Oryzias latipes: one gene and its partner. The main gene of each other region encodes a partner of the protein of the gene in region 2 in a complex. Links are inferred from orthologs where the notes say so. Each region holds a gene or a part of one and is shown on either strand. Other genes may lie near its edges. The genes, in order: orla-uba and tapbpl.

Region 1 (17,416 bases), on a different chromosome or scaffold from region 2:
GGCCACAAAACTTGGTGGACAACTTTATCTTAATAATTATGACACTTTTTGAGACCAACCAAAAGTCAATTCTGGACTTATTTGTACCAGTTTTGTTACTCCATGTAAAGCATTTGACATCAGGATTTTTCCTTCTCCATCTATCATGGAGGTCAAATTTCTCTATAAAATTCTTTAGCTTGGTGTTGCTTCCATCTAGCCCACGAGGAGGCCACCTATCTACATTATTATGTGGGACATTATTGAAGTCACCCCCCAATAATATGATCCTTTTTGGGAAAATTTTCTAACCATTCTAACAGTAAATTTTCTATAGAGATAAGAAGTTGATCATTTTCTTTGACAGTGTTGTATCCATAAATGTTGGCTGAAATAACAATATTATTATCACATTGTAGTAGTTGGCAAATATAATGACCTGATGGATCACTTTTAGTAAGTAAAATGTCCCCACTACAGATATTTTTTAGAGTTGTTACCCCAGCTGATCGCTCTGTACCCTGTGAAAACCATAAAGAGTTACCCCACTGACACTTCCAGAATTTGGTATCATCAGATATCCAATGAGACTCTTGTAAATAACAGAGATCTGAGTGAAATTGCAAAAAGAAATAAAGCTTTGAGCTTAACATTATTGCGTAGTCCCCTGGCATAAAAAGAAACAGAAGATAGAGTAAACAGATTAACTAGAATAAACAACACACAGAAAACAAGTTATGTTTTATAAACACTATAAGAATATTTAAAAAATAGTGCAATATCAAGAACAGCACTATTGAATCCATTTTAGCAGCTTTAGTTCACAAAAATGTTAAACTCTTAAGGTTTTTATTTTCCTTTTCTCTCTCATGCCCCTTCTTCTTCCTCCCTTTGCGACCCCCATCCCCCATTCCGACCCCCCAACAAAAACAAAACAAGAGGGAATCAACTCAAATATAAAACTGAAAAGGGATTTGAGAAGGGGGAAAGTTCCTGATAATGCAGAGAACACACAGGACTCCTCACATGGTTGAGAAAAAAATACAAAAAAAAAAAGAGAATTTCTCTTTTTTTCCCCCTTCATCTTTCTCTTTTCATGGTGCACTTCTGACCCATTAATAAATCCACGGCCTCCCAGGAAGTAAGTCGCCTTTCCCTCCTCATGTGCTTTTTTGATTTTAGGCAACAGCTTCTGCCGACACTCCCTGTCCTCTTTTGTTAAGTCCTCGTTGAAGCCCAAGTCTTTAGCTTGGAGAAATCCGTTCTTCTTGGCCGTTCTCCAAACCTCCTCCTTCAGGCGCCGGGAGATGAATCTGATTAGAATACCTCGAGGCCTTGGGTCCTCCTGGCGTTTTCTTCCAATCCGATGAGCAACATCAACAGCATCATGAAACCTTCCAGCAAAACGTGATGGCAAATGCTGATCACCTCCTCACGCACGGTTTCCTCTTTCAGCCACAGGAAGGCCATAAAGCCCCAGATTCCATCGACGACCATAAGCTTCCAGATCTGCATCCTGCGCCAAGCATCTCGATGTAGATTCCTCATTTTTCTCCACACGTTTTTCCATAACATCAACTTTGTCATTTATGAGTTTGATTTCGGAACAGACGGTTTTAACCATTTTTTCAAAAGCATCACTTCTTGATTGATTGTTGTTGTTCGGCGAGCATATTAACTGCATCATCAGACTTCGTGGACCAGGGCATAGTAAGCCTTTTAGCAAGGGGAGGCTTACTTGGGGTCACTGGGAGTGAAGGAAATTCCTCCTCCGAAGTCACGGGTATGTCCATGCTGCTGCCAGAGCAGCCATGCTCCTTAGTTCGGTAAAGTTAGAAAGATATTCACAGATTTGGACTTCCGACCTCAATAACTCTTCTGATAAACATTAAAAAATGTGATAGCAAGTATCTCAATCCTTTTGTATTAACCCAGATAGTGAACTACAAATGCATTTCAATTATATTTTATTGCATTGATAGAAGATTCATAACTCCCCAGGAACTTCAAGACAAACATGGAATAAATAACTTCTTGGAATATCAGCAACTTAAATCAAGTATTACTAAAAAGTATAAATTTAAAGACGACAATTTAAAGCTACCAGATGTAGTTACCACTCTGATTAATTTTTCAATGAATAGAACTCTCTCCAAAATATACAAACTTTTATGTAATTTAGATAACAATATTGCCCTTCCAACAAAAAAATGGGATGCAGATTTGAGCATCAGCACAGTTGAAAGCTTCTGGTCAGAACTCTGTCTAAACACCTTTAAACTGACAAAAAGTCCAAATCTGCAGCTAATCCATCTCAAAACTCTTCACAGAATTTACTACACTGGACAGAGGATGTTCAAGATGGGTCTCAGTAACTCAGACATTTGCGAGTACTGTGATAATAATCTACCCGACAGCTACATGCACGCACTGTGGTTCTGCACTCCTGTCCAGGCTCTCTGGCAGCAGGTATGTGCCGATTTATCAGTCTGGCTTAAGGTTTCAATCACGGCCTCACCGTCACTTTGTGTGCTTGGTGACATGAGTGCCATCGATATAAAAGAAGGATTAGCATCTATCATTTTCATAACTCTTTGTATTGCCAAAAAAACGATTTTAATAAATTGGAAAAACAAGAAACATATAAACATAAGTCAACACAGAAATCTGCTGTTTGATCATATCAGCTTGGAAAAAATGTCAGCCCAAAGCTCAAGTAACTTTGAAAGAATTCAGTCTCTCTGGTCTCCTGTGGTTGACTTCATGACTTAGGGGGGTGGGGGGCTTGGTCGTCGCTGCTCCTTGCCCTTCTGCTGTGGTTTGGGGTGGGGGTCGGGGCCTCCGGTGCCTGGCGGGGGCGGTGGGGGCTCCGTTGGTCGGGGGGTCGGGTCCGGTGCCTGGGTGTGGCGGGCTGGGGCGCTGCGTGGTCCTCTGGGCTTGGGTGTGGTGGTGCGTGGTGGGGGGGTGGGGTGGTGGTCTGGCTTGGCTTGGGGGGGTGGTCCCTTTGCCTGTGCTGGGGGGGGTTGGCGGGGGGCCCTGCGGCGCCGGATGGGCTGCCCATCTGCACCTGGGGCTGGGATCGGCCCTTCCCTGGCTCTGGGACGGGACGGGACAACCCTCTCGGGGCCCCCGGTCGCTCTGGGTGTCACCCGCTTCGGCTGCGGGGTCTGGGGTGGGGTGGGGTGGGGGGTTTGTCGGCCCTGTCCTGTGGGGGGGCGTTCTGGGGGGGGAGGGGGGGGCATTATTGGTACGGGTCGGGGGGGCTAGCGGGTCGGGGTCTCCGCTGAGGCAATCAGTGGTTGCCTCGGCCGGTTGGCCTCCTCGGTCCCATCAAGGCCTGACCAGAGCTCCTCTAGGGCCGGCGTCTGGGGGTGGGGGCCTGGGCTTGCTCCGGGGGGGGGGGGGGACGCTTTCTGGCTCCTCTCTCTCTGTGTGGGGTGGGTGGTGCCGGGCCTGGGGTGTCGGCGCCTCCGGGGGTGGGGCCCCTGGGCTGGGTGGCCCTGGCCCCTTTGCTGGGGGGGGGCTGGGGGACAGCTGTTTGACCACCTGGGGACAGTCTACCAGCTGTCCCCAACTTACCCCCTTCCTCATATAACCTCATATTAGGGTGAGGGGGTGGGGGGTCTTGCCTGCGATGCGCCTTGGGGGGGGGGCTACTTGGCAGTGGCCCCCCTCCTATGGTTGCCGTATGGAGTGGGCCCCCCCTCTTTCGCATTTATTTGCACCTTAGACATGTAGGGTCCTTGGTAGGGGGGGTGCTTGGACATCAGTGCAAGCAAGCAGCAGATGTCCTCCTGGCACCCTACCCGCCAAATTTAACCTTAGACATTTAGGGCCCCTTGGTGGGGAGGGTGAGGGGACATCACTGTGAGTAATCAGGAGATGTCCCCTCAGTGCCCTACTCGCCAATTTTAACTGCACCCCCCTTAGTACACACACCCCTCCCCCTTCAATATATGCATTCCAACATAAACACACACACATGCACACACACACCCTCTCAAACACACATACACGCACACACATTTTGCAAGGAAGGTGGGACCTGGGTCCATCTGTCCCCTACCCCTTCCCTGGTGGGGGGTGCAGGCATCTTGGCGATGGCGGCCGTGTCCCTTGGGTGCCGGCTCCCTGGGCCCGGCGGTGCTCTCTCCGCACGGTGGGGGGGTTCATACTACACCTGAGCCGGGGGTGTTCGTGTCCCTGGGGGGCGGGTCCTGGTCCTTGCCCCTGAGCGCTGGGCCCCGCCAAACTTCCAACATGGCCGAGCCTGGTCAGGCCATATTTATAACACCCCTTGTGGGCCACCCTTTTTTCCCCGGGGCTCCCCCCTCCTGGGCGGGGGCGGCAGGCCCCTGCCTTGCCCCTCCCTGGACCAACCGTGGGCCGGGTGGGTGGCTGCCTGGAGTGCGGAGCGGGTCTCCCTTGGGGGGTCCTGGCTCGTACCTGGGGTTGGGGCAGGGGGATGCCCGGAACTCCTGGGTGGTGGTGGGGTGCTCGTCTGGGGCTGTGGGCGTCCTTCTCCGGTGGGGCCCTGCGTTGGGCTCTTCCGGCGCGGCGGGGGGGCTGCTTTCCTGGCTGGGCTGGGGCGGCGCTCTCTTTCCCTCCGCGCCTCCCTGCTCTCTGGCTCTGGGGGCCTCGCGGCGGTCCTGCTGGCCCTGGCCTGGGTGGCGGTCTTGGTCGCCCGGGGGGCGGTTGTTCCCTGCCTGTTCCCGTGTGGCGTTGGGGGAATTCCGGCTGCCGCTGCTGCTGGGGCGGGGGTCTGGGTGTGGGGGTGGCTGGGCGCTCCTCCTCCTTCTTTTCACATTCCACTATCCATTTTAGAAGAACATAAACACCCACCTGAGCACAGGTGTTAGCTCACCTTTGCACTTATAGTTTGCATGATTGAATGAATGAAAGATTTCACACTAGTTGGTTTAAAGGCAAAGGTATGCGTTCGTGAACACTATCTGTTTTGTGTACATGTTGACATGTGAACTTTTTTTGCAGTTAGCAGGTGTGTTGATAATATTTGAGTGTGTGTGTGGACAGGCCCCGCCCTTTTTGAACTACATTTGAACTGTACCGTAATGATAAACAACCAGTAAACCTGTCTGCTCTATGTTGCTTCATGGTCTTACCCCCCCCTCTCACTATCCCCCCCCCCCCCCCCCGACATCCCTCCCTCTTCTTCCCTTCTTTCCTTTTCCGTCCGGTCCAACACCAAAGATTTTCAATCATGGTTGAAATGAATAAAGTTTGGCCTCAATTACAAAAGGGGTTTGTCCAGTCACACCTTTGGTTTGTCTGAAGATTAATAACCCCTCTTGTTAAAGTAAAATATGTCCAACACAAGAGGCCCTCAGCTCTTATCTGCCTACCTAGCTGTTGGACAGGACAAGTTTAAAAAAAAAAAAAAGTTATTGCATACATTTTTCACCTTTTAGTAGACGTAGGAATCATAATTAAAATGAACAACAGCTTTAAAAATACTGAAGCTACAGTCACCAAACTTCCTGTACTGACTAATCGTGACCTTATTGTCCGACTACAACAAAGATTTGGTCAGAAATCCACTTTGTTTGTTTTTTAGGAATTTTTCATATAGAAATGTGGATCATATTGTGTCAAAAATGTTTAATAGCTCTGAAAATACTGAAAGCTTCTGTTACCAAACTTTCTTTACAGACTTTTCATTACTTTTCAACCAACTTCCTTACTAGTAACACTGGAGTGTACTCAGAAGTAATCCTTTTGATGAAATTACAAGTAAAGTTTGTTCACAGACAAATTTTGAAATAAATAGTTTCTTCTCTAAATATAATTTTACCCAATCAAGTCATGATTACTCAGTACAAAGATTTTGGTGAATGTAGCTTCAGAACTTTCAGAGTTATTAAACATTTTTGACAAAATATGAACCATATTTCTATATGAAAAATTCCTAAAAATAAACAAAGTGGATATCTGACCAAATCTGTGTTGTAGTCGGACAGTAAGGTCATAATTAGTCGGTAAAGGAAGTATGGTGACTGTAGCTTCAGTATTTTTAAAGCTGTTGTTCATTTTATTTATGATTCATACATCTAATAAAATGTGAAAAATGTATGCAATCAAATATAATAAAGATGGACTTTCTCACAAAATATTTATTGTAGCATGAATATGCTGACAGGTCTTCATTACCAGTTCATATAAATGTAGATATTTTCGCTTTTTAAAAGATTATTGATTTTTATAGAAAAGTGTTGCACAGAGGTTGCACTTTGTTAACGGTCGCTTGGCAGCTGGCTCGCTGCATGTCTGCATTTACACCTCGAAGAGAACAATTGTGATCAAAAGGCAAAAAAAAAACCCGAACTTTTTTCTTTTGGCATGCATTTGTAGTTCCCTATCTGTGTTAATACAAATGCATTGAGATAACTGCTATCACATTTTTTAATGTTTATCAGAAGAGTTATTGAGGCCGGAAGTCCAAATCTGTGAATATATTTCTAACTTACCGAACTGTGCTCGTCGGTTAACATAAAAACAAGCTAGCGGAGCTTCTTTTTGCAGATTTTGGCGTTTTGAACGGTGGGAATTTGTAGAATGTATCCAAAAAATACAATCCAGAACGTTTCCCGATCGTGTTCAGGAAAAGGTAAATCTTGCTGCTTCAAAAAAGCTCAATAAATAAGTTAGGTGCTCGGTGCTCGATAAAGAAACCAGTCACCGCCATGATCTTGCCGGCCGATTTGGTTATAAACAGAGATTTACTAAATAAAAACAGACTTCAGTGACGTCGCTCTAGATTTAAACTCTTTCACTTTTATATAAATAACCTCATCGGTTTAATTATATTGAAGAAGAAGAAACAAAAATTCCTATGGAACAAAATGATTGATAAAAACACAAACAGTTCAAAATCAAATCAAAAGGTTAAAAACTGGTGACTGACCTGCAGCAGCGCTGTGGAAACTCAGTCCCAGAAAACACAGAAACATCTGGATCTTCATTCTGGATCTTCTGATGATCTCAGTCTGACACTTTCCTGTTTAGAATCTGTTCCTTGGGTTCTGGATCAAAAGATCAGAGAATAATTGAATGAAACGTCAGAGTCGGAGCACGTGACTATGATCTAAACCAGGGGTCTCAAACTCAATTTGCCTGGGGGCCAATGAACGCAGGGTCTAGCTGAGCGAGGGCCGCAACTTCAACGCACACACACACACACTCAACTAGTGAGTGTCTGAGAGCCAATAAATTTGTATGGAACATGTACTATACTGTTAACTATACTCTATTGTTAACTGTTTTCTGCACAAAATTTACTTATAAAACTCTAATTCAAATTAAATATGTTAATAAAAAATCAATAAGTAAATAAATCAGTAATACATTTCTGTTTATTTAATCTTCCATATCTGCTGTTTTCTCATTTAAACATCATTTTTAACACAGTTCAGTTAACACTGTTGAATTCTAACTATTAAACACTAAAGAAGACTTCAATTCTACAGTTCTGTAAATCCATCAATGGTTCTTCTATTGTCTTCTTCTTACTGCTGGACACTTGGCAACACTTCCTCCCAAACTGAGACCCTCAGTGTGGCTTAAAGATGATTTTCATTAAGTCTGGACTGTACTTGGACTCATTGAAATTGAAGGTGGAGATGTCAGAGAGGATGTGCTCCCAATTCTGAGTCTGTGTTGAATGTTTTTTTTTTTTAAGTTTACTCTTTAAACCACAAATCAGTAAAGGAGAAACAAAATTCAGTAAACATTTTTGGATTTTCTATCTTATGACTTTTTGCACATTTAAACCCCAGTCACAAGTTATTGTAGAGCAGCCGGTCAGCTACTCCTACATTTTTATAAAAAACGGATGGAGATTCATGTTGGAGACACCAAATATGTGCAGCCAAGATGCACAATAAGCATGTTTGAGATCACTCAGGTGGACGCAACGCAGCAACAGATCACCAGGTGTGTGACGTATGTTTTTGCTTTTGCTTCAACATCACCTGTCAATCATCACAAAAATATTAGGAGAAAGGGGCGGGAGAAGTAAGGCCCCAACCTGAGCGAACGCAGCTGGAAATGCAATACTGTACTGACTGCAAGCCTGCAAGGTTTTTGTAGTTGAGTGATCAATTAAAATCATTTAAAATAAATTTTAAATGAATTAATTTTAAAATAAAACGTTTATAACATTCTCGACTTTTGTTGGACAAGGTCAGCAGAAATACCCTTCAGACTATAAATGGAGATGAAAAATGGTGTCCTATGATAAAAACTACCGGTAGATGTTTATCAAATGTACTGATAACGTTGTTTGTCATTGTTATTTGTCTATGTCTATTCTAACAGAAAGAGAGGAAATAATGCTAACATTTTTGACTTACTGCTGCTTCACAGTATTTCAACCTCTTTAACTTGTGTCTAAAGACTTATTTTTCCCGGATCTCATACTGATAATTAGAACAGAAGAGAAGTTTAATGTAATTAATTTATCTATAATGAACTGACGTCAGTCAAACAAAGCCCTGTACAATAAAAGCTCAAAAACATTCGAATCAACAACTAAGAGGTTAAAACAATTAAAAATAAAATAAATAAACAAGTGTCATAAAAAGAAAAGCTAAAAGCAAAGAAAGAAACTTTTCGCACACATGATAATTTTCTAAATACTTGCCGCCAGTGCTAAAGCTTTTTCTTACCACACTTATTTTGTTTAAGGTTAGGGTTCATAATAACCCTTTAGAAATGTGTGACCAACCAAATTTAACATTAAAAGCACTTAAAATACATATGGGCAATGCAGCAATGTACATCTTATGTGTCGTCAATGTAAATTCCCTTCAGTTTCAAATAACATCAGCCAAAAGCGAAAGCAAAAAAACATTTTTTTTCCTGTATTTTAACTAAAAACAAACAATTGTTATTCCATTTCATCTTTAAGTGTTCTTATAAAGAGACAACAGATGGACCCATAATAAACAAAAAACACACACATATATGACTTATGACTGTAATTTTGAAAGAAATGTCTAAAGTAGTTGTTGGATCATCATGGTGTTCTGAAGGCTAACCCATCAGATAGGCGAGGACAACCACGAGCCCACAAGCACAAGACAAGTCCATCGCAGAGCCACACAACTTTAATTAGACAATTATATAAATAACCCAAATCTACCCATTCACTATAAACTCACCTGCCACTGCTCTGTGTATTCCACTAAAAATCAGAAAAAGAAGGGTAATCACTGTTGTGCGGTTACATTGTTCGTATTTCCTGCTTCTTCATGGAAAACCAGACTGTATTATGGAACTTCTCCTGACGAGACCTAGACCGGAACTCCTGTTTTTATTTTGGACCAATGAAAATTACACGATGACTTTACGTCACTTGTGTCTAGGCAAAAAGCCGTCAGAGAGGTTGATAACGTACTTGAAGTGCAAGAACACGATTCTTAGGTCATGTGGTCTTTGTTGTTTGCAGATGTAATTTGCCACATCCTTGGGTGTATATGCGACTTTATTTTAGAACAGTTAGAAGCAGCTTAGAAATAAATATGATTGTAATTTCTATTTTTAAACCTGATGTTTGCTGCACCACAATCTTTTATCCAAGAGAAGATATGGTCCACAAAATGAAGGGGAGAAAAGTTGTAAGATTAACAATATTTAATAAAGGATCAAAAACAAACAGGATGCCCCTACTCCAATACTTTTTGCTTTATGTTTTGTTTTGGGCAACAGTAACACAGGACACACAATGGATTGATTTTATGACTATTTTATTACTTAAGACAAACATAAAGTAATAATATATATTTTTACAAAGTACATTAAACTGCATTTGATGCTATAAAGTTCAAAAAGTGTATTCAAAAGCAAACCTTGATGGTAAAGTTAAACCACATCTAAGGTTCTGTCCCCTCTTATTTAAATTGTTTACTTTAAACTAATTATCTAAAACAGGGAAGTTTGAAACCACAAAACCTTTTCAGTAGAACAAAAGCTCCTCCTCTGGTCACAAACAGTCAGCTCCTGTCTGTTTCTGGTAAGTCAGCTGATCAGTCTTTGGTTTTGATGAAAGGGCATTCAGTCTGCACTCTAACCAGGAAATTGCATATAGGTGTGTTTGTTACCTTGGTGGCTTTTGCAAGGACGAAGAGGCTTCTTGTTGTACTTGTCTTACATCATATTTCCACAGACAGGCACTGAAAACAGCAAGAAAGAGGCAATAAATTCTCACCCATAGTAGTGTGATTGGCAGTTTTCTTTCAAATTTAACATAAAATATTTTGTTGTTCTTACTTTATCCGTTGTGTTATCTTAGATGACTCCACCCTTACAGTGTTCTCCCTACCATGACAAAGGTGGATAAAGGTGGAAAGATTTCATGTAATCCATGACCACCAGTGAAGATCACAAATCATTGAAGAAAGAAAAGGTTCAGAGCACTGTCTACTGGGTCTAGATGACCTAACTCCCAATGGTCCCAATTGGTATTATCTTATCTTAAAAAGGGTTTGCACAGGCTTTCATGCGGCAAGGAAGATTTGCCTGAAAAGTTTGACAACTTTTAAGTTAAAAAATATTACTTTTACACTAGACGTTTAAATTAAACATTAAAACAAGAGCGCTGTGAGTTAAATTTATTCGTAGATTTAAAAACATGTTTCCATTGTTTTTGCTCCTTTTGTCCTCAGGTGACCCCTGTCCTCACGGGCTGGATTCCAATAGGAAGAATTCACGGCCTCGCCTCAACCGTTGTTTACTTCTGAAGGATAACTATAAAAGTGAAAGCTCTAAAACACGTAATAAAAAGACTCTGATCATGAATGGAAAAGTCAATATATATATTTTTAATCCTTTTATATTACATTTTTAAACAAGCTAATTGAATAAACTACGGTAAATTGTTTTGGGATGCTTCCTAGATGTGAACCTGTTTTATTCCTTGATGTGTGGCGCTATGAGGTTCCATTTGTATGAGGTTCCATTTGTGCCAAAAATTTGTTTTTGTGTCCACTGTCTATGTCAGGGGTCGGCAACCTTTTTTACTCAAAGAGCCATTTGGGACCGCCCCTAATAAAAAAGAAAGCACTCGGAGCCACAACCCGTTTTGACATCATTATATATATTATGCATGTATATATTATTCAAAGGTGCTCATTACGTCGATCGCGATCTACCGGTCGACCTTCAATGACATGAGTGTAGATCGCGGGCCAGAAAAGATTAAAAAAAAAGTACTTCTTTAAAATCCACCAGCCAATCAAAATCCTCACTGAGAAGTAAGGGACTTGATTGACATGTAGATTGGCCAATCGGACATCGTCTGAAGCATACGTCGCTGCAAATGCACATTATGTTCTTTAAAGGATGATACCGCGGTCGCGTGTGGGAGGAGCTACTGGTTCTGGTCTGATCGCTGCATGGAGCGATGTGTTTGTCAATGCATGGTAGACACTGAGAATGTGGAGAGATCAGGTTTATTATTTTGAAGAGTTCTACTTGGTAATCATGTTTCCATGTTTGAGTTCATAAAATCATCCCAGGGAAAGTCTCTGCTTCAACTCCTGCAGTGAAAGCTGCGTCTCAATCTGATGCCCGTGTTTGCATCTCTCTGACAGAGTTTGATCCAAAGCCCCTCCTCCGCCTCTCCACCTGCTTTTCCTCTCTACCTGTTCACCTGTTCACATCCTCTGCAGCTGAGAGTTGTTTCCCCCGCGCTCCTCGGTGTATTTTACACAAGAGAGCGCAAAATACGGTATTCGGGGCGCTCCAGCACAGCACAAGGATGAAAGAGCCGGACGCAGGTTTTAGCGGGGATATAGCGGGTTAAGCAAATGAATGGAAGAAGGCGGCCCGCTGAAGAAATATTCAATATTGTACACATTTTATTATTAGTCTGAACTATCTTTTATTTAGAATTTTTTTTCATTTTATCAGTCCAGTACGGGGAAAAAACATAATCAAAACTTGTGTTGGGCGGTTTTTGGCTGGGTCTGGCGGTTTTCAGATGACTTTTGGGCTGGAAAACTGTGACTCTATCTGGCAACACTGGCGCGAACTCTCAGTCTGTCATCAGCGAGTTGGTCTCTGCCCCGCGGTACGTCAAGTTCCCGGCAGAAGATCGGAGTGTTTATAGACCTTTTTCACACTTCCGCATTTTTCGACCGGAAATACGTCAATGACATGTAAAACAACTTCCTGTTAGCGTAGCAGCAGATATGAAGAATGGCAGAGTCGAAGAGTTGCAGTCTCTGTTGCGTTCCAGGCTGTTCGTCTTCCAACCAAAAACAGCCTTACCTTTCATTTCATTATTTTCCTGTGGATCTAAACCTGAAACCCAAATGGATATAGGCGATCCGAAGAGATGAAGGGCATAGTTTTAATGTAAACACAGGTAGCACCCTCTGCTGCCGGCACTTACTAACTTCGCTCCGGGATTGTGGTGCGGCTGCGTCGTTCGTCGCCTGAAGAGTGGTGTTGCCCCGAGTATTTTCCCTTGGAACAACTTTACTGATCCTTTGAGAAGGGAGTCAGAATATGACAGAACCTCAAACGTCAGGCTATGCAGCTAAGCTGTGAAGATAGCGACATGGTGGCTAAGCTAAGACAGTAAAGATGGATCACGACTACGTGACACACCCACCTGCAGGTAAGGTTGTTCATAATGTGTTTGGTTAACGTTAGTCAACTATGTGTACCGTTATTGGATACATGCATTTCTACCTGAACAAATTAATATTTATAATAAAAGATGTTCATGCTCTCACCTATTTTAATTACATGTATTTAATCACTTTTGAGCATTTTGTCATTTTGTAATTTCCTTAACAAAAATAAATGAAATGTATTTGTAATTAAATACTTAACATACTTTTCAAAACATGATTACTGTGTTGTGTTGAAAGGTAGCATTAATATATTAAGACTGATTTTTAATTTCTTTATCTTCACAGGTGCTCTGGATGAGGCTTTGGATTACATCCATGACTTAGAAGCCAAGTTCCTTTGCTGGAGCCAGGAGACGATGTCATGGCGGACAAAAGTTCCTCGTTCAAGACCTCCTAACTGACATTGGATCTAAGATCAATATTCCACCTTTTAAGCTTTCAGCTCAATTCAGCAAGGAGGAAACAGAACAAACCGCAGCCATCACCCGCCTCAGAATTATGGTGGAAAGAGTGATCAGTAGGATAAAGTCCTTTCACATCAGGAACTCTCTGTGCCGCTCACACTGATGGGCAGTGTGAATCAGATCTGGCTTAACCGCCGTGTTTTGGCAAATTATCATGGACTTTTTTGTTTTGAAGAGTGAATTAATGTTTGGTATGTAAATAATGTATAATGTGCAAATAGTATGGAAAAATTTAGTGTTTCCACATATTCTTAAAATCTAATTAAATATAATTGTTATATTCGTAATATTTTTCTGTTGAAATGTGACTGACTACACAAAAAAATTAGATGAACAAATAAAACAATTTTGGTCAAAATTGTGCCTCGTTTAATTTTTTGGTATGCAAATAACATCAAACATTTACAATAAAAAATAACATTACAGATCAACAGTAAGACAGAAGGCTGAACTGATTGTTAAAGACAAGATAAGTGTAATTTAAGGTGTGCATTCATGCATTTGCCACAATATATATCCAAGTTCTCTTTCATTCCATCTCAGAAACCCATCCAACACAACCATGAGAGGTTGGGGCTGCACCTGGCATAATCTGCTTCCAGATGCCATCATATGGATCTGGCTGTGGTCCTACACAAGAGAAACACAACACACAAAAGTTAGACATAAGTGCATAACTACATTTCAATTTAATTCATTATATCTGCTGTAACCATAATTTGGTTAGTCATAAGATTAAAAAAAAAAAAACTTAACTTGCTCACAAAGCAACAAAAAGTTAATCACCTGTATGCCTTGTACAGTGTGGACCTCTGACCGTCCCTGCCAACTGTTTTGGGTTTTTGCACCATCAGCTCACTAACCGGTTCAGGATGGATTCCCTTATAAGTAAAAGGCAGAAAGCAATTAAAGTCTGTAGTAACTACTTGGGGTGTTTTTATAATAATTTAGAGTTGTTATGGATACACATACGTTCTTAAAAAATAATGACAATATGATCACAAACCCACCTGTGCCATCTTTGCAAGCCACTCGTGCAGGCCAGGGGGGTGGAGCAGCCTGCAGACCCAGCTGTGAATAATGTGCGGTCTGGAACAGGATGGCAACTATGTGATTGCAAAATCCTTTAGCAGCCACACAACTGCAGACGAAAGCTTTCAGGTTGGCACTTTCTGCGTCCAGTGATATCTAGACACAATAAATTATATAGGTTAAAATTAGGACATACTTATGTTGCTACATCAATGTTCAGAATGACATGAAACTATAACTGTCAATAGGGTGACCAGATTTGAGTTTGTAAAAAAGAGGAGTGAAGTGAGTTTGTGAGATATTTCATCGAGAGTAATTGGTGTTCAGAGCTGCATACATGAAGCAAATATAATTACATTTCATCTATGTTCAATGTTATTTTATTATATAAGTATCAAAAGAGAGGACATGTCCAGGAAAAGAGGACTTCTGCTCACCATACTTTCAGAAAAATAATACTAGTAAGTGAAGAAAGTGCCGCAACCGCAGCAAAATGAACACGCATACGGGCAACTTAACATTTCTTATTTACAGCTTCACCAAATTTTTGGGTGTTATGTTAATCTCATGCCTTTTCACTTAAACATACACACAACATATTCACTGCGATGCCTTATATTACAAATTAATAACACCAGGATTTACAGTTGACGTAAACACACAGAGTTACCGGTGATGCGGCTATGGCTAAAGCTAGCTGAAGCTTACCTTGGTAATGGTGGATAAACTCTTCGTGGACGAATTTATATCCCATGTCCAATTTGTTTCCTTTAGTGGACGATTGCATCTTCACACTCTTCATCACATCGGTGCTGGTGAACTTCGGAACACAACTCAGGCTCTTCGAAAACACTCTAGGCTCTGCCATTCCTCCGCCAGCGAAGCACAAACCGGAACTAGGTTTACACGTTGATGACGTACTTCCGGTTTTTGCGAAAAAGGTCTATTGAAGCCGCCCCGCGTGCCTCTCCCTGCTATCAGCTCTGCAGGTCTCGCCCGATAAATACGAGCTCATTACGAAGCTGTTTTTTACGTGGCTCGCGCTTCGTATGGAGCCATCAGCGCCTTTGAAATGCCATGAAAAATGAACAAACTAAAAAAATGTAATTATTATAAAATACTCATTATTTTCCAAAGTCACAGGGAGCCACAACAGATGGATGAAAGAGCCACACTTGGCTCCGAAACGATGGGTTGCCGACCCCTGGTCTATGTCTTTGGTCGTGGCGCCACCTAGCGGTCTGGTGCCTGATGACTCGTTGTTAGCATTATGTTTTAGTTTGTTTTTATTTTATTTGTTCATTTTTTCGAAGTACATAATTTAAATATTTGCTTTTAAATTATCAATTATACAAATTTTGCTCTTCGTTTTTTTCTTTTTATTCTTATTGATGTGAAAATCTCTATGCGCTAACGCTAGCATGTTGAAGGTGAAAGTGAAACTAAAAGAGCTAGCATATATTTTTGGGGAAAACCAGCTGCTCTAATGATCTGCAGCGAGTAAAAGAACAGATGAGACGTGAGTTAAAGTCGATGGGACACATAAAAACATGACGGACTTTTCTACCATTTATAAACTTTCCCTGGTGGCGCTTTGGTGCTTCATCCACGGTAAGAGAACAGCGTTCTTCCGTCAAAGAAAACGCACAAAACTGAAACGAGTTTCATATACGCAGCTGCTGTGATAAATATACTTACAAAAAGAGTTTGTTTACTAATGGAACATTAGAAAGAATCAAGCTTTACGTCAGCAAAGCAGCGAAGAACAACAATTATGCTGTTAAGTGTTTTGGGTCAAACTTTCGTTTAAAAATCAAATAGTTCTTTTGTGAGCCGATTGTTTGCCGAATTTATGAAAACTTCAAATTAATTTCTATAATATCTCTAATAATGTTGTTGTATGATGGTTGTGAGGGTGAATTACTTGAAAACGTATATTTATTTAAGGAGTTTAGTGGGAAAAAACCTTTAAGTTTAAATAATAAAGTTCCTGCTACGTGTCTCAGTAAAACTTAAAAAAAAAACACGAAAACTTTTAAAGGTACATTGAAGGCTCATGTAGTCACTAAAAACACTAGTACAAACTAAATACATAAACAAATTAGGCTAAAATGCTTTGGGTTAAAGGTTTTCCATCTGTTTCTGTTTGTCATAATTTATTTTCCACTAGATAATAAAAATATTTAAACTGCAGATAAATGAAGCATAAATTATTGCTAAACTGTTCAGATATCTTTATTTGACCACAGAAACTCACTTTTACTTTTGTTTTTAATTTCAGGTTATAGCAGTTTTAGTTTTGCATTATAAAGCCAGTTTTTATTTCATTTTTTGATTATTTTATTCTAACTTGTGGCTCTGTATTATCACTTAGTTACAACTCTTGGTAAAGCACTAAAAGTTCTCATTTACAAAGCATGAACACGTGTTGTAACCTATATTCCCGTGTTGTGCTGTTCCTGGTCTCCCGTCTGCAGCCTGCAGCAGCAGCAGCAGCAGCTGCCCGCTGTTGGAGTGCTGGTTTGTCCAGGAGAAAGTGGGTCGAGGTGGAGGTTTAGCTGGAGCCACGACTCAGGAAAAAACTCTGCTTCACATCAGGAAAGATGAGCGTGACGACGGCGCAGCGTCCAGCCGAGCTCCGTCTGACATCAACCCCGACAGGATCTACGTCATTACAGGTCAGTTCTGCTGGACTGTGAACAAATGACTGTCGTCTGTTTGTCATTATTATCGTCAAAAAAACCTTCCATGATGATCAGAAATCATATTCTATGATTGTTTCTCTCTTTTGTCCTCAGACCCCGCTGAAACTCTGTGCCACCGCTCTTTCAACCCGCCCCGCGGCTCCATCAAGAAGCCTCAGTGTGAAGTGAACCCCTTCCTGCCGCAGCCCTCCAGCCTGGCGTGGGTCCGCTCCCTCACGGAGAACGCCTTCAGCCCCGTGTACCTGCAGGCCGACTGGTTTTCAGCCTCCTTCCATGGCGTGGATGAACAGCGGGGGGTTGCCACCATCACACGCGCTCCATCAGGAACCAAGGAGCACAGCGGTATTTACTGTTTGTCTTTGAAACAGCCAAAGGTTTAGTGCGTCTGCCTCACAAACGTCTGTCTGTGTCCTCAGTGATCCTGAGCCTGACCAGTACAACCATGACGGCTCAGGCCAGGCTGGGGCAGCCGTTCACGCTGGACTGCAGCTTCTGGGCCGACCCGTTGTCTCCTCTGTCAGAGACGGGCTTCGCCGTCGAGTGGCGGTATCAGTTCAGAGGTGACGGCCGCCTCGTT
Region 2 (15,908 bases):
TCTCTGTTTGCTTTCTGCCTAAGTAACTTTTACGTGTGAAGCTGACAGACAGTGGAGGTCAAACGACCTGGCCGTCACCAAGCCGACATGTCTCCCAGGTTTGACCCGCAAATTTGTTCTACAGAGCTTTGTGTGCAGCAATGATTTAGAGTAGAAAAACATTGAGTATGAATAACATAGAATAATGTTTCTAATGGCAACCAAATGTCAGCAAGTCTACAGTTTGCAAAGTCTTGATAAATCCAAACAACAAATAGATTTCGAGGGTGGAGGGATCACACTTTGGCATGAAAGCACAGGTCCAGATGTCAAACTAAGTCAATCAAATCATCTATTACTTGCTAGGTTTGAACATCAGTGCTGGTTGTCGTGAACAGAAATGTGTTGATCTAACAATTCTGTCATGTGTTCCAAGTTTGATATGTTTAGGTGCCAGTCGCCAGGCTCTGCTGCAGTGACAAGGCTTAGACTCTTACACTTTTCATATCATTAATGAATGAGGCCCTAAACATTTACCTTATTAACAGAATTAAGTGAAGCACTCTTTGCAGCTCCCTTGCACAAGTTTTTGCAAGGGAGTTTTGAAATATTAAAAGATGGTTTTGTATTGGAAAAAGAATGATTATTAATATGGAATATTATATATGGTGTCTTCCTGTGTGTAATAAAATGACACTAATAATTTTTCCAGTGTGTGGTCAGCCAACACAAGAGATAAGGGACTTTTTGAGGATCTTTGGAGGAAAAGACGCTCCACAAAACACCATTCCCTGGCAGGTGCTGCTGACTGTAGGTTCAGGAAGAGGAGGAGGTATCATTATAGCAGACAAGTGGATCATGACAGCAGCTCATGTGTTGGCGCATAAAGGACAACAAGTTTCAAAAGATTTGGTGAAAGTAAGTAATGCCACATGTTACAGACATGAACATGATGTTGTTTTCCCTCTGTTAACAGGAGAAAATCCACCATGGTGGTCAAAACCCATGAGAGTTTGGATTGACAGAACATGCTTTGAAGTTGTACCAGCTTAGTGGCCTTGTGGTAGAGTGTCTGCTTTGGGACTGGGTTCCCATCACCAGTCATGTCATGCCATGTCATGCCAAAGACTCTTCAAAAATGGGACCCAATGCCTCTCTGCTTGATAGATCACTGTGACAACAGCCTGCCACTCCCTCAGGAGATTCCATATAGAGAACAGAATTCACATGGCCAAATGGTGGGATTTTAACGTTAAATGACCTGTACATAGGACATAGTAGTCTGAAATAAAGCAGGATGGTGGATCTTGAAGACCACCTTTCAGCCACTGGGTTTTCTCTAATTCAGAGTGACTTTTCAACTTTTTTTTTTTTTACTGCTTTTGTGTGAAAAAATTGTGTTGACACAACAGTAGAGTGTGTTATCATTACTCCCCACACTGTGGGTATTCAATGACTGAGGTGCATTTTGGGAGTGTTGTTGGATTAAGTGTTTTGATTGTCCATTAAGACTTCTTTTCTGGATTTGGTTGCTCCTTGCAAGGTAGACCAATTTGGAATTCTTGTGGTTATTTTAGATTACATATGTGGACAGTGTCTTTCCTGATTAGCAAAGATTAATTTGATAAGAAATTTTGCTAAAAATCTTGATAGCATTGGTTAGATGTACATGTGCTGCCTGGGTAGTGTCATTTACAGAAAATATTTGACTGCAGAGATTGGCAATAATCCATGACTGTCCAGGCCTGTGGACAGTCATGTGACTTAATCAGTAAATTTGTAGTAATTATTTTAGTCAGTTTTATATAATTTTCATTGCAGGTTTTTTCTAATCTAATTCTTATTAAAGACCCATTCCAATCATCTTTTGAGCCATTTTAAAAATGCTTCTAGTGTTTTTTTTTGTTTTTAATTATGATTATATCGTTTTAGGCAAAATCAAAACACCTGTCATTATCAAGTACATAGTTCCTGCAAAGTAGCAGTTCATTAGAAATTTGCCTCTGAGATGTGGAAGGCACCGTTGGTACAGAACAACCTTCTTCCCCTTCCAGCTACTGAGAGATGTCTGTTTACATGCTCTATTGCTAGCTTACAGCCCCATCACACCCCCAACCTAACATTATGGGAGCAATAAAATAGCAAGCAGAGTTAGAGCTATCCAGCTGTACAGTTTAAAGCCAGCTCAGACGAGGAAAACGAAGACGTACACGGATCTATTTGTCTGCAAGTGTATGCATCAGAATGGAGCAGAACAGGAGGCTTGTGGCGTGCCAATTGTAACTTTTATGTCACTACAAACTTTTTCAAACAGCGTTTCTTTCCCCGTCAGCTCCTTATTCACAATGTTTCAATTAAAGAAATACTTAGAAATGCAATTTTTGTCTTAATATTTCTTAATATACGTCCTCCAACATGAGAAAAAAGCCACAAGAACATGCTAAAAACACCAAAAACACATTTTTCATCAGAGTTGGTCTTTATAAAAAAAGGCACCATTTGTATTTTCCCTGTCTGCATCTGCATCTCTGCTCCCTCTTAAATCTTCCAGTTGTACATCACTACCTATTTGTAAAGTTGAAAGAATAGTTCTAATGTTTTGTTTTTTTCTTTAGATGTATGTAGGAGGCACTGAAGTGGGGGCCATGATAAACTCTCCTCTGTACGCAGAGTCCGTTCATGTCCATCCGGGTTATGACTCAGTTGATGATTTATCCTACAATAACGACATTGCTCTGATCAAACTGGGGAATCCACTCACGTTCAGAGCAGCTGTAATGCCAGTGTGTCTGCCAGCAAAGGACAGCTCATATACGACTGGAAAGATAGGGTGAGCAAACACTGACTGACAAAGTTTTAAGAACAGTGGTAAATGTGTGCTGTTTTGTTTTTATATTCATTCACCACGATTCTTCCCATTTTTCAGACTGGTATCTGGCTTTGGCCTTGTAAATGACAACGGTTCCCGGATTCTAACAAATAGGATGAAATATGTGCAGCTCCCACTGGTGGATCGTAAGAAATGCAACGATTCATTCAATTTGCTAAAGGAAAGAAAGCACAAGGTGCCACACTTGACAAACAACATGTTTTGTGCTGGAACCCCTGAGGGAGGAAAGGATGCATGCCAAGGAGATAGTGGAAGTCCCTTCACCCTGACTGAAAACAAACAGTTCTGGGTAGCTGGAATAGTCAGCTGGGGTGTGGATTGTGGGTTGGCGGGGGCATATGGAGTTTACACCAAAGTGGTTGAGTATCTGGACTGGATCAACAGGACCATGCAGGAAAACTGAAAGTTACAGTTTTGAAACAGCTCAAGTCAAAAGGAAAACAACAGAAATTGATTTAGCCTATTTACAAAAATAAAAAAACTAACTAAACACTTTGCGACTAAATGTTCAGTTGAATGTTTGCCATCGTACTACAACACCTGATCAACTTTAAATAAACTGCTTAAAAATAGAGCCTCTGTTATTTTATGTATCCAAACATTTTTACTTAAATACTAGAAGAACCAGTTTGACAATTTTTGAAATGTTAAATCTCTAAAGTAGACTAACAATTCAAATGTACATTTTTTATTTAGTACTTAACTTATCGTTTGAATGAACATACTTCCTTAAGAAACACAAATATGCACACATATACACACCACACACACACACACACACACACATGCACGTGTATTTTTATTTAAGATTAGCAGCAAGCTCTTGTACTAACTATACAGAGAAGCCAGTTAAAGTATTTATTTGACCAGTAGTCTTATATAGTGTGCTCCTGTTGCAGCTGCGCGAGGCCTTCCCAGGTTTGGATGGTTAAGGATAAGAAAAAACAGATGTGCAAATGGGAAAAAGGAAAAATCACACAAGTCTGCATGAATTTTCAAACCTTTTGTTAAAGGGAGAGCCAGCGGCATCTGCAGAAAGAAGCGCTTCGCCTCTGCTCTGATCTGCTCTGGTCTGAGTCCCCCCCCCTCACAGCTAGCAGGTTTTATAACCCGACATGTGGAAATCAAGGGATGGCATCCAATGGCTCTGTGCTCATCCTTAAAAGCAAGAAAGTTAAGAGACAAGCCGTTCCTGGTACAAATGACAGTTATTACTGCATCCTTTCGGCACAGACAAAAAACTGACGCAGGTTTCAGCGCTTACTTCACAGAATGTTCATGTCTGTAAAGAACCCAGTGAATGCATAATCCTAAAGTATAAAAATTATAATAAAATGCATTATAAGTATAAAGTATAATTAAATGTGTGATAATACAATATGTAGTCGTACTACAATGCTACACTCCCTATTTTATAGTGTGTTTGTCTCTGCAGAAAAAGTGTAATCTCACTTTTGGAAATGCTTAAGCACACAGACCCAAACTGCTGTGATGCGTATGAATGAGCATATGAGGGATTAAAGGTAAAATAATTAAAATGATTTGTCAAAACTTTTTATGGTAGGCCTATAATATGTTAGTTATAATGTAATAATAAGGTTTGAACAGAAAGGCAGTAAGAAGAAAAGAAACAAAAAGAGTTCACTGTGTGACTAAAAGTTAAACAAACTCACAGTTTACCATGACATGAACCAGAATCACAAAACACAAAAAGTTGTTTAAAATATTTTATTTCAAATAGAGTTGTGAAGATTGTGCACTCTTGCTTGGATTTTTAGTGACATTGTCTCAGGTCTTGTCATGTTTTATTTTCTGGTTTTCAGTTCCTCGTTTTTAGGTCATCTGTTTTATCACTCTTTTGCTACTTTTTAGTTTCTGCCATGTTTAAGTTTATTTAATAAATGTTAGAGTTTCTGAGACCAAGCCTCTCTTTTGTTTTACCAATAAACGTCTTTTATTCCCCAAGAAAAAAACAAAACCAAAACGTGTATTTTTGTTTTTGACCCAGCTACCAGTGACGCTTCCCTTCCTGCTCTCTCATTGGACAGTTCCCTCCGGTTGCTTTTTTGCTCGTCCCTTCTCTGAAGCTTGACGGCGCATGCGCGTGAGATGCTAAAAGTCTGTTTTTTCTAAGCATTATAACTTATAGTAACTCGTCCGATTATTAGGTTTTGTCTGTGATGAGCGCGAGAATCGTTTTTTTTAATGAATAGTTTATGAAAAAAGAAAATTAGAGAAACCAATGATGCGTCGTGAGACCTTTTCAAATCAAAAGTGAAAGTGCTGTAGTGTAGTTATTCAGTTATCGTTAATAAATGGGCAAATGACAGGTTAACTTCACTCTGATAATGATTGAAATCATTTTCTTCGGATTGTTCATTACCTGCGTGAATGGTAAGATAGTCTATGTTGGCTTTTTGTTGTAGCATCATCTCGTCACAGTGGATTTAACATAGTTAGAGTCTCCTATTTTCCTTGGGCTTGTTTTTAAAGACCCACTCCAAAAGAAAATTGTGCTTTTCACATATTATTTTTTTAGCTTTTGTTATGTACATCTTTCTGACTCAAAACTGTACTGTTGGATAAACTACTATTTCTAGCCATTTCTGTTTCACCGGTAATATTATGTTGGGTGGTGAGGGTGTGTAAGCAAGCAGGAGAGAGCACACACAAGGGGATGATGGGCAAAGAAGACAAGCTCACTCTGCACCAAGAGTCTCGCCCACATCTTAGAGTTCTAAACAACTACTGCCACTCTGCTGAAACTGTCCCAGAAAACAACATAGGTTCTTTGATTTTGCCTAAAAACGGTATAATCACAATTAAAGATGGTCGTAGTGGGCCTTTAAACCCGAAAAAGTGCTTGATGTGCACCCATTTTCTGAACCCAGCTATTGCATACCTCAATGTAAGCTCAATACAATAAATGCATGAATTGAGAAATAAAACAATATAATTTAGAGAATCAGAAGACTTTTAAGTTACATACTTGTCTCCCTTTCACTTCAAATCTTCAGATTTGATCAACTTTTCACATGAAGCCAGTTTATTAGTGGAGCTTAAATTGACCTTGACTTGTTAAAAGTGGCTGCAGGGTAAAAACAAGTGGACGTGTTCTTGCTGTATTTCAGCTGACGGAGCTGCAGATGTAGTGCTATCCTGTGCCCTGGTGGAGGAGGGGTCTGGACTCAGTGGAATGGAAGGTGGTGCCCTCTTCTCTCGGACGCCAGCCACCCTTGTCCTTCGAGATGTTGCCGTGGGCCCTGAGGAGCCTTTGGAAATGCTCTCTCCATTCGTCCCTCCTTCAGTCCCCGATCCGGAGCTCTTTCTGTTCGAGGCTTCAGGTCTGTCCTATTTTCTTCGTGCATCAACCTAAGTCTTATGCTGGACCTTGTGATGAATGTGTCTCATCCCGCTGTGACAGTGACCTCACCCGACATTCCCAACACAGACCGGTTGCTCCACGCTGATTGCAACGAGCTGGAGGTGTTGTGTGAAATAAGTCGTTACTCTTCTAAGGGGCTGCAGGACAGCTCAGATCAAACTTTTTTCATGGTGTCCATCACAGTGGAGGAGCTGGACTTCAGCATTTCACTCATCCTGGAGACTTTACCAGTGGAAAAGCATCAGTCAACGCTTATGCATAACAAACTGGGTCTACCTCTGAGTCAGTCAGGAACTCTGCTAACCAAAGGTGATATTCAGAATTTTCTGCTATCTTTCCTTTTTTTTTTTAAAGAAGCTGTAATTTTTTCCCTTTTGTCTTTGTCCATTGGTGTTCTAGCTATATTCGTGGTGTTTTCCAACACCAAGTCTTTGTCTGCCCCTCTGAGGGGAAATGTTGTCCTCGACTGTGGCTTCAAGCAGCAAGAAGTACCGTTAGCTCACCAGGTAGATGTGGAATGGCGGCTGCAGCACCGGGGAAAAGGCTGGAAAGTACTCGACTTGAAAACTACGCTGGATGATCCAGAAGGCGTCCATGCAGATGGTGGGCATTGTGAAGACTGAATGAGTTTCCTTCAGCATTTTGAGGAGCAAGCAGGAAAACCCTCGCTGGATTTTAGAGACATGGTGCTGATTTTTAGAAACCGTTTTGCTGCTTTTCATCCAGAGGAACCCTGAAAGTTTATGCTTTATTGTTACTTTTTCATATTTTCAAAAACAAGCTCTCATGTCAGAAATCAAACTGTAGAAATTTTGATGTTTACAATCCTCTTGATAAACATATTTTGGAACTTTGCGTTAAATTTTCCAACAAATATAAAATAACGCTAGAATTAAGCATGTTAAATCTACGGTCTGTTTTTGACAACATTTCCTTACATTTAAATTATATTATCATAAAATACATGTAGATCATCCAAAAAAGTTTATTTATATGTATACAATACGGTAAAAAAAAGTCTGCAAGAGTTTTAAGATTAAAGAAGATTTTATTTATTTTTGTGGTTCCCCTAAAATGAACACATGCTTGAATGCTACTTTAATTGAAAAGTTTTATTATTTATTTAATATTATTTATTAATTTATTTTGCTTTTATTTAAAATAAAATAAAAATCTTGAAGGGGTTAGAAGACAAAAAATATTATTACTTTTATGTTTTTAATCATGTTTGCTGCAACCTACAAGGATGCTCCAAAGTGCAGCGTGAGATCAATTGAATTAATTGTCTGTAGCGGCATCTAGTGGTGGAGTTGCACATTGCAACCAGCTAAAAATCGTATACAGTATTTATATCTAGAATGGACATCATCTAACTCTGGGATTTGTGTCCTCAGTGAATGTGGAGAGGAAAGATTCAAGCATGAATGCTGGGCTGGTTGTCAGAGAGGGGAACGTGTCTCTGACTCTGCCAGCTCTGAAGGTTTCTGATGAGGGGACCTACATCTGCACCGTCAGCATCGGTCACTTCCACGCACAGCAGGTCATTCAGCTCCACATCATTCGTAAGTTTCTTTTTAACACGAGTTCCTATTTCTTATGCATCCAGTTTTAATATCTTTTGTTTGTTTGTTTTTCTTTTTTTTTCAGAACCGCCACATATTTCCCTCTCAGAGGAAAAGTTGATGTTGAAAACACCCCAGACATTAAAGTGCTTCAGCAGAAATTACTATCCACTGGACGCTCAAGTCAGTACTCATTTAGTATTAAAGATTATGGAATATTTACATTTGTTTTAGAATTCTTTAATTCTTTAAGTTCAATTATAGATCTAAAAATTGACTTTAAAGGATTTTATACCTCCATGTTATTATTTGTAGAGCTGAAATTCTTTTAATGAATCGTACTAAAATCTGAGAATAGGCGTGTTCAAAAGGTCTGCCTTATCGCACGAAGCTTTCACTCAAAGCTTAATCAGACACATTTGTACATGACTTTAAGATTTAATACAGTTGTGTTAAATACATATGTACTGAGCTGACAAAGTGATGCAAAAAAAACAAGGATTTACTTTTGTTTTTGCTGTGTTAATGCAAATTTCTCCCCAGCTATGACCTGCCTTCACCCTACAGCAGCTGTGTTAGACTCCATCAACCCTCCACAAAGAAAGATCTCAAGATGGATGGAATTAAACAGATAAATAAATAAAAAGTGTTGCCTAAAAGACTTTTTTTAAATCTTAAAAATGTGTTGTGAGCATCAAAACTTAAAATGGAAACTGAAAATAGTTAACAAATGATTTGCTGCTTTCAAATATTGTTCTTGCTCAGAGAAAATTCCTGCAGTTAAATCACCACAGATGTTTAAACCCTTTAAATTTAACCTTAAAACCTTTCTGTTTGTCCAAGAATATGATCATAATTGTTTGTCTGTCCTTGAAAGAACTCCAACTTTGTCAGAGTGGCGCTTGCCATAGCGATAACAGACAGCTTCTGGTGGTCTCTCTTTCAGATGGAGTGGCTTTTTGTTTCTCCAACTGCCACAGAGCCAGAACTCTTCAAAGACCAGGGCTCCCTAACCAGCCATCGGCAGCATAGTGACGGGACTTTTTCCCTGTCGTCTCACCTCGTTGTGCCTCCCGCCGTCCCCCCAGGAACCAAGATCATCTGCAGGGTGTCTCACGTAGGACTGGATGCTCCTCTCGATGTCAGTGTGTTGGTTGAAACTCCTAAGATAGGTATGTATTTACCACAAATATGACTTTGTAGAGGCTAAAGATATGTTTTGAAATGTTTAAATCAGGTTTTTGAAGTATTTAATTTACTAAATTAGACTGTTAATCAAAGGCCACATGTTCTTATTGGTGAGAAACTTTTCATTTCTTCTGCCTTATGATTCAAAAATAAAGGACAGATTTAAGTTGAATACTTTTCGTTATGGAAAAGTGATTAACATTCACGGCACCTGTGAGTTGATGTCTGCAAATGAATAAATATACTGTATTTCTTCTACAGATTCTTACTGGTGGTTCCTGGGTTTCCTGATCGTCACCATACTTTTTTTCTACCAGGTTATGAAATAAATCATAGCACTTCTGAAATAAAACAGAGGCAAAAATTTGGTTTTACTGTGTCAGTCTTTAAGCAATTCATAGCTTTAAAAAAAATTGAGTTAAAGGTAAACAATAAATGTGTTTTATTGTATTTAATTAATTGTAATTGTTTAATATTGTTTCGTATGCTCAGTTGTACAATTTTATTGTGAATTGTTATCTTGGTAGGGTTAATCCCACCGCTGCAGTTATCGTTCTTTTAATCTCAGGGAACCTAATATTTGGAGTAAAAAAAAAGATCTTAATTTCCTGATTCATCATGAAAGTGCAACATTTTACAAACTACTTACTCACAGAGGAGAAGAGGCATTTCCAACATTCTATCAAATTACTTGACCCTCATCCTTGCATGTTTGACTTTACAAAAACTCAACAAAAAAAAAAAAAACGTTGATATTTGTAGAGAAGGTGCTTGTCATCCTTACATCCTTAAACACTTCCCTGTTAAGTCTAAAGCTATTTCTTTTTATATATATAATGATAAATTCAAGAGATTATAAACTAAACATGGCTCTGCATCCCTACATTCATGTTTTTCTGAGAGCCAACACCGTTTTCTGGTCTGTCCTCGTCTTTTTGTAGTATTAATAGGATTTCTTTATTTTGCCAATGACACTCTAAAGTGTTATTCGGGTTTTTGTTAGTTTACAGTGCAATGCTGAATGGTGAATCAGGAAATCCAATCAAGAGAGACAGGTCCGTCTTTTATTTATTGAAGAACGTTTGTGTTTATTGCTGGGATTTGATGCTTTTCTTCCTGTCAAACATTTATCTGGGCACAGTTCGTCACAAAAATGGGACAGCAGGGTAAAAGTACGTTTTGTGTGCCCAAATAAAATGCATTACATTGTGTGACACTATGACCTTGTGTGTAAACCGACACTGGATTATTAACAAATTAAAGTTTGAAGCTGTGATTATTCTTTTTATTTCAAAAAATTGTACCTGTTCATGTAAAAACCAAGCAGTAAAAATATATTTTTTTTAAAAGCAAAGATTTCAAATCATTTTTTAGGAGACAGCTTCCAGTGGCACATGTTTATTCCTGTCTCCAACCACAGACTTCTTCTTTTTTTTCATGTCTTTTATACATTTAATGTCAGATGTATCATGATTATGGCAAATCCTCTCTAGTAAGACAGGATTTGCCAGAGGTGTAAAATTACATTTTTCTAATTCTTTACCTGTCAAGCAAAGCTAAATTATCTAATTATTTTTTTTAAATTTACCCACCAGGCACAAGATCTCTATTAGATAGCTAATAGACAGCTATAGCTATTGTAGATGTCTGCTGAACATCTCAGACAACTCTATTTTGTTCTATCTACTCTATTTTTAGTCTTTGGTATGACTCGGCTTAGGAATGGAACTCACAACCTTCCAATCTCAGGGTGGACACTCTCCACAATACCACTGAACTGTTTAAGTATTTTTTTTAAACATTTACTAGATATAAAATAAACAATGCAATTTCACAGCCAGTATTATACATGATTTTGTTAACAGATGGCTGAATAGAAATCTCAAAATTTAACATTCCACAAAGAAGCAAACATCTACACTGAACTCTACCTAGGGTCTTGGAAATTTGCATCAAAACAAAAAGAACACATATAAATGCAACTTCATGTATGAACAGCCTATTCCTGCAGAAGAGCACATCTTAAATTTCAATAATCTTATGAATCAAAACCCAACTTGGGACATATACACACAAAAAACTCTTAATAACAATGCAATACTTGAGCAAGTATAGTTTGAAAAGTCACTTGTAACAAAGTGATCCCAGTTTTCGACATCATCAGATTGTTGTTTAGCATTGTGGATCTAATTCTATGCCTCTTTACAAATACTGTCTTCTATTGCATTGACAAAAAGTTGGAAATATGGCCTCTAAAGCACACAAAACAACCATTTACTGGCCTTTTAAATTATTCTTTCTTATTAAATGACCCCAACTTAACTCAAACAATTCTTGAGAAAAATGGCAGCTTGTTTATTAGGCATATGGTAGGATATAACCTCAATGCCATTGGCCGTGGGAAAGTTGTCTGCTGGAGATCAAAACAGTGATGTGCAATAGACCTCCGAGAACTGATGGATGCATAATGCATATCTATAGCTGTAAATGTCAATAAATACCTGATTTAGATATCTAGTTGGATGTGTCTGTGACCTGCGGGTAATTAGGTTACTGGCAAATGAAAAATTTAAGGGGTTAAACGTTTATACATTTTGCCATGAATTCGATTTTTAGCTGGTCTGTGATGAGTAAAATACTCAAATTTCATCAATTCTTCGTGTGAAAACAACTCATGAGTTAATGGAAATAATCTGTTGGCTCCTTTTGAGGTCACTTGCAAAAGCAAGAATTTTTTAACCACCTACAAATATTTTAAAAGAAAATAAAAGTCAGTATTTTATTTTTTTGGTTTTGAATTTAACCTTTTGCCTTTTAAGCATTTATTTGGTAATCTAATTACATTAAGGTTTAATAGTCTCTAATCTCTCAAACTCCACAAAAACAATTTGCTGTGTTTCCTTAAGAAATGTTATATCAGGTCAGTGGTAATTGTTCATGATAAAAATAACCTTTGGATGAAAAGGAAATTTCACATATTTATATACGTAATAGAAATATATTTTTGACTGATTGATACAGGCTTAGTGGGTAACACTTTCACCTTACTGTGAGTAGGCCCTGGTTCAAATCCCGGCTCTTTGATCTTTTCATGGATGTGTGGGTTTTCTCCGGGCTCGTCAACTTCCTCCAACAGTACAAAAACATACTTTTAAAGGTAAACTGGTGACCTTTAGGTTTAAGCGTGAGTGTGTCTGTCTGTCTTTGGCTCTGCAATGCACTGGTGCACGATCCAGGGCGCCCTACGCCTTTGCCCAACAGTCACTCAGTAGACTCTGGAAACCCATTGACACTGAAAAGGACTAAGCAGGTATAGAAAACGGATGATTGGATGGATAAAAATCCACTATGAATGCGGTGCACTTCATGATTTCTTTATTGACATCAGCAAAAGTGATAGACATGCATTTCTATTTTGCAAATCCAGTTGCATTTCATCGTGAATGTTCAGGTCACCAAACCCATTTATTTTTCTTAAATCAGGTTCAATTACCCAACAATATTGATACACAATATATTTCGATACTTCTGGCTTAGCTCTTCAGTTGTGCAGAAATGCACATTGACTTGATATTTTTTCTGTTTCATTAACTTTCAGAATCAGTCCAAAGAAAGAAACCAATCCTAAATTATACAGCAGCCTCCACTTCTAGACCTGAAGGAATTAGTATAAACATTTTCAGCATAAGCTGACTGATGGGTACGATGGTTCCACAAATACAATACTACATGTTATTGACAGTTCATAATAATAGTGTTTGCTTACGGTGTCTGAATATTATTTTTCTCTTACTAAAGCAAGTGGTTCTAACAAAACTTGGCAAACCTGTGAGCATGGTTGCATTATACGTTGCATATGCAGATCTGTTCGATCAGAAAGACGTTGGGATCCCACTAACTGAAGAAAAATGTACAATCGGCAGTAAGAATCAGAAATGGCAGACACAGAGATTACACAAAAGGCAAAACTACAGACACCGTTTGCCATGCAGGTTAGAAACACACACCTCCTTCAGGCCATTGTGGTTCTTCAGGCGACAGATGAGTCCGTTTTTTATTTTTTTTTGTCAGCAGGGGATGGCGAGGCCTGGCTCAGACTTTCCTAATCCTGTTCTTTTTCCCAGCAATCCTGCTGTTTCATAACCATATGGAGACGCACCAAAAAACAAACAAAAAAAAACTGTCCAAACAAGTTAGTTTGATAGGCGATGCTGCATCAGCTTATGGCTGTGACTCTGTCCACACCAGTGATGAGACTTTCCTCTCAGTCCTCTTCATGTGTTTGTGTGGAGATTGTCTGCTTTGTGTTTTTTCATCTTGTATTTTAGATCTAGCATAATGCCACCCAAAACCCCAGGCTAACATTGAGTTTATCTACAAGACTACTTCACTGATAGCTATCGATTCTAAATTAGGTTTCTTATTTATGCAGGACACTCCTACTCAATACTCCTACCACCTCTCCCTGAATCACCTCCTCCTTTCCCAGGTCCCTTTTTTGCATTTCTCCTTTCTTGTAATCTTTTTGCACAAGTTTCTCATGTGACAGGAAGTTGGACAGGAAATGGAAAAAGTTACTGGTAAAAGCTTAAGTTGATTTTGGACAATTTCTCACAAGCAAACAACATAAAGTTTAATAACTTTATCTAACATCGGTTAGTAAGCAGCAATGATTGCAGCAGTCTTGATGAAAGAGAGTCTGTTAGTTAGCAAACAAGAATAACAAAAAAATGAATGAGACAAAGCTTTGGCTTGACTGGACTGGAGACTACAAACTCTTGTTAAATCTCCCATTTTTGTATTTTCCCGTTTGTTCCCCTAAACATCCCTCTATCTCCGTCCTTCTCTTTCACTCTGCCGGATGCAGCCTTCAATAATACATGAGGAGCAGAGACAGGGGAGCACGAAAGAGACCTCATGGAGAACAGGGGAGCAAAGCAACATGAGGAAGAGAGCATCTTTGAAAACTACTGTCATGTTTGATGGAAGGCTGAGAAGATAAGGAAGAAATGGCTGAAAAAAGGGGAGGAGTGGCGCTTGGGTTAGTTCTGGTTTTTCTCCTCATCCCCCCCCCCTACATCCTCCTGAAGTTCATATCCATCTGTGGCGATGGGAGGAGCTCAGTAGAAGAAGTACACTGCAGATGGAGAAAAGAGTGGTCATTAGTGCAATGCAAAGCACATGTCATCTGTTCAGATCCAGACTTGGGTTCTTTCTTTTGGTCAAAATCTAGTGATAAGGTGTAGAACACTGAGGGTTCTGCAAAAAGCTGACAGCGCAAGAAAATGAGGCCTAATTTATTTTTGTTTTATGGAACATTCAGTGTTTAGCAGCACCAATGAAGTGACTCATTTGTGTCATGAGATTTATCACATCGTGTGAACGCGCTACCATAACTGTGGGAGGAGAGCCAGTGAACGTGTTCAGCCACTTTCAAACCAAAGGCACCTTCTACTCACAGAATATTATTCCAACCACAATGACTCCAATGATTCCCATCATGATCATCATCTGAAAAATGAAAACCACAAAAGACGGGTCACCATCTCCAAAAGATCAGAGCAAGTCTGTACAAAATAATATATTTCAGAGTTTCAGGTGAAAACTGGACTAATTGATGGGTTTTCTCTTTCTGCCCTGAAGCATCAGAGCTGCTTCCACAGCAGCTCATTACCACTTTATGTAGTTTTACATGCATTCCTCTGACTTTAAACTGGCATATGCTCAACAGAGATTACAATATAAGTGTCTCTTTGTCAGGAGTCTGTGTAATGGTCCATCACGGACTAATGTGCCCACCTTGCAGTTCTTCCACCAGTATTTATTTTTTAGCTTGGCTGCGCAGCTTTCAAACTGAGAGGCTCCGGCCTGCAGAGCGTCTGCTCTGTCATCCAGCTCTGAAAGCTTCTGGTCTCTTTCCAGAACCTTGTCCACGTTCACGCGCATGATATCCACTACCTGCAAAGGGCAATGCATTTAGTCTGATAAATAAAGGAGACAAGAATACATTGCATTTCCCATTTAACATTTTAGATGATATCTCTTTGACAAAACAGATATTTCAGTCTTGCTTACCTCCTCAACTTGGGCCTGTGTCTGTTGTAGCCTGCGGTTGCTGGACGTGTTGGGTGGGCCGGCTGGAGCTCCATCTGGGCCCGGTGCTCCTGGAGCACCTGGAGCTGCAGCTGGCGGGGCAGCATCTGGAGCAGACCTGAAAAATGGAATTGAAAATATTCTTCACAGTTCTTTTTTAATTATATTTTGCACATATATAACATATATGCTTTCCCTAGATCTTACTAAATTATGTACATGTGCATATTTTTAATGGGTCTGTTTAAAAAAACAATGTAAAATACAACAACAAAAAAAGTTAGATCTGGGTTTCTGCAATGGCTTAAAACTGTTATTATTTTTGGTAAGTAAATTTAAAAACCTCGAAAAAATGTTTGCAAAAAAGCTTCTTGAAAAGCAAAAATTTAGGAAAAAAAGAGGGGTTAAGAGATGCAATGGAGAACAAAAATGGTGTAAAAATAAATAAAAAAACTGAATAAATGAAGAACATATGATGAAGTGGAGAATAATAAAAATATACATTGATGACCACAAAAACAATGGTTGGACGGTGATAGAGATGATGTATAAAGCAAGAAGCACAGAGAACTTCTCATCCAAAAAGCATTCATCTGTTTAAGACAAAAATTTGGATTGAAAAAAAGTCCCAGGTTGGTTTAAGTGGTGACAGCAGTTACCCTCAGAATAAAGAATGAATAATTCACCAGAGCTCAGACAGAAATTTTCACTTGCGTCAGCAGAAACCATCAAGGGAATAAAAGAAATAAAAAGGAAGGGTCTAACAGTTTCACTTTGAGGAAAAAGAAATACATTCAAATAATCTAGATTA

The links.
Region 1: the proteins of tapbpl (region 2) and orla-uba are in contact, whole or in part, in an NMR structure (PDB 7RNO), measured with the Homo sapiens proteins. The link is inferred for Oryzias latipes from reciprocal best matches to the Homo sapiens genes TAPBPL and MR1. Residues at the interface, in NP_060479.3 of Homo sapiens: His47, Arg48, Gly49, Ala50, Ala52, Ser53, Ser54, Leu129, Met131, Thr132, Glu133, Thr135, Arg228, Gln230, Lys232, Gly233, Arg234, Gly235, Thr280, Ile282, Gln293, Ile295, Gln297, Arg307, Leu308, Ser309, Ile320, Cys321, Asp322, Leu355; in NP_001372090.1 of Homo sapiens: Arg101, Arg104, His105, Asn107, Thr129, Gly130, Phe131, Leu132, Gln133, Ile143, Phe144, Asn145, Asp147, Thr148, Leu152, Ala153, Val154, His159, Thr160, Lys162, Gln163, Ala164, Ala167, Asn168, Gln169, His170, Thr213, Phe214, Pro215, Asp248.

Annotation. Positions count from the first base shown.
Region 1 is NC_019869.2:15,982,727-16,000,142, forward strand, and holds the start of orla-uba (major histocompatibility complex class I-related gene protein-like precursor), read right to left. Parts: upstream 9,276-17,416; 5' UTR 9,159-9,275; intron 7,020-9,158; 5' UTR 6,960-7,019; coding exon 6,902-6,959; intron 1-6,901. UniProt on the Homo sapiens protein: Antigen-presenting molecule specialized in displaying microbial pyrimidine-based metabolites to alpha-beta T cell receptors (TCR) on innate-type mucosal-associated invariant T (MAIT) cells.
Region 2 is NC_019874.2:20,323,813-20,339,720, reverse strand, and holds tapbpl (tapasin-related protein), read left to right. Parts: upstream 1-4,993; 5' UTR 4,994-5,217; coding exon 5,218-5,263; intron 5,264-6,000; coding exon 6,001-6,213; intron 6,214-6,293; coding exon 6,294-6,563; intron 6,564-6,653; coding exon 6,654-6,857; intron 6,858-7,648; coding exon 7,649-7,816; intron 7,817-7,901; coding exon 7,902-7,999; intron 8,000-8,762; coding exon 8,763-8,988; intron 8,989-9,265; coding exon 9,266-9,333; 3' UTR 9,334-10,280; downstream 10,281-15,908. Other genes in the region: uncharacterized protein LOC101173495, read left to right, coding at 24-98, 692-897, 2,595-2,809, 2,906-3,272; vesicle-associated membrane protein 2, read right to left, coding at 14,125-14,141, 14,464-14,515, 14,804-14,962, 15,080-15,215. UniProt on the Homo sapiens protein: Component of the antigen processing and presentation pathway, which binds to MHC class I coupled with beta2-microglobulin/B2M. Association between TAPBPR and MHC class I occurs in the absence of a functional peptide-loading complex (PLC).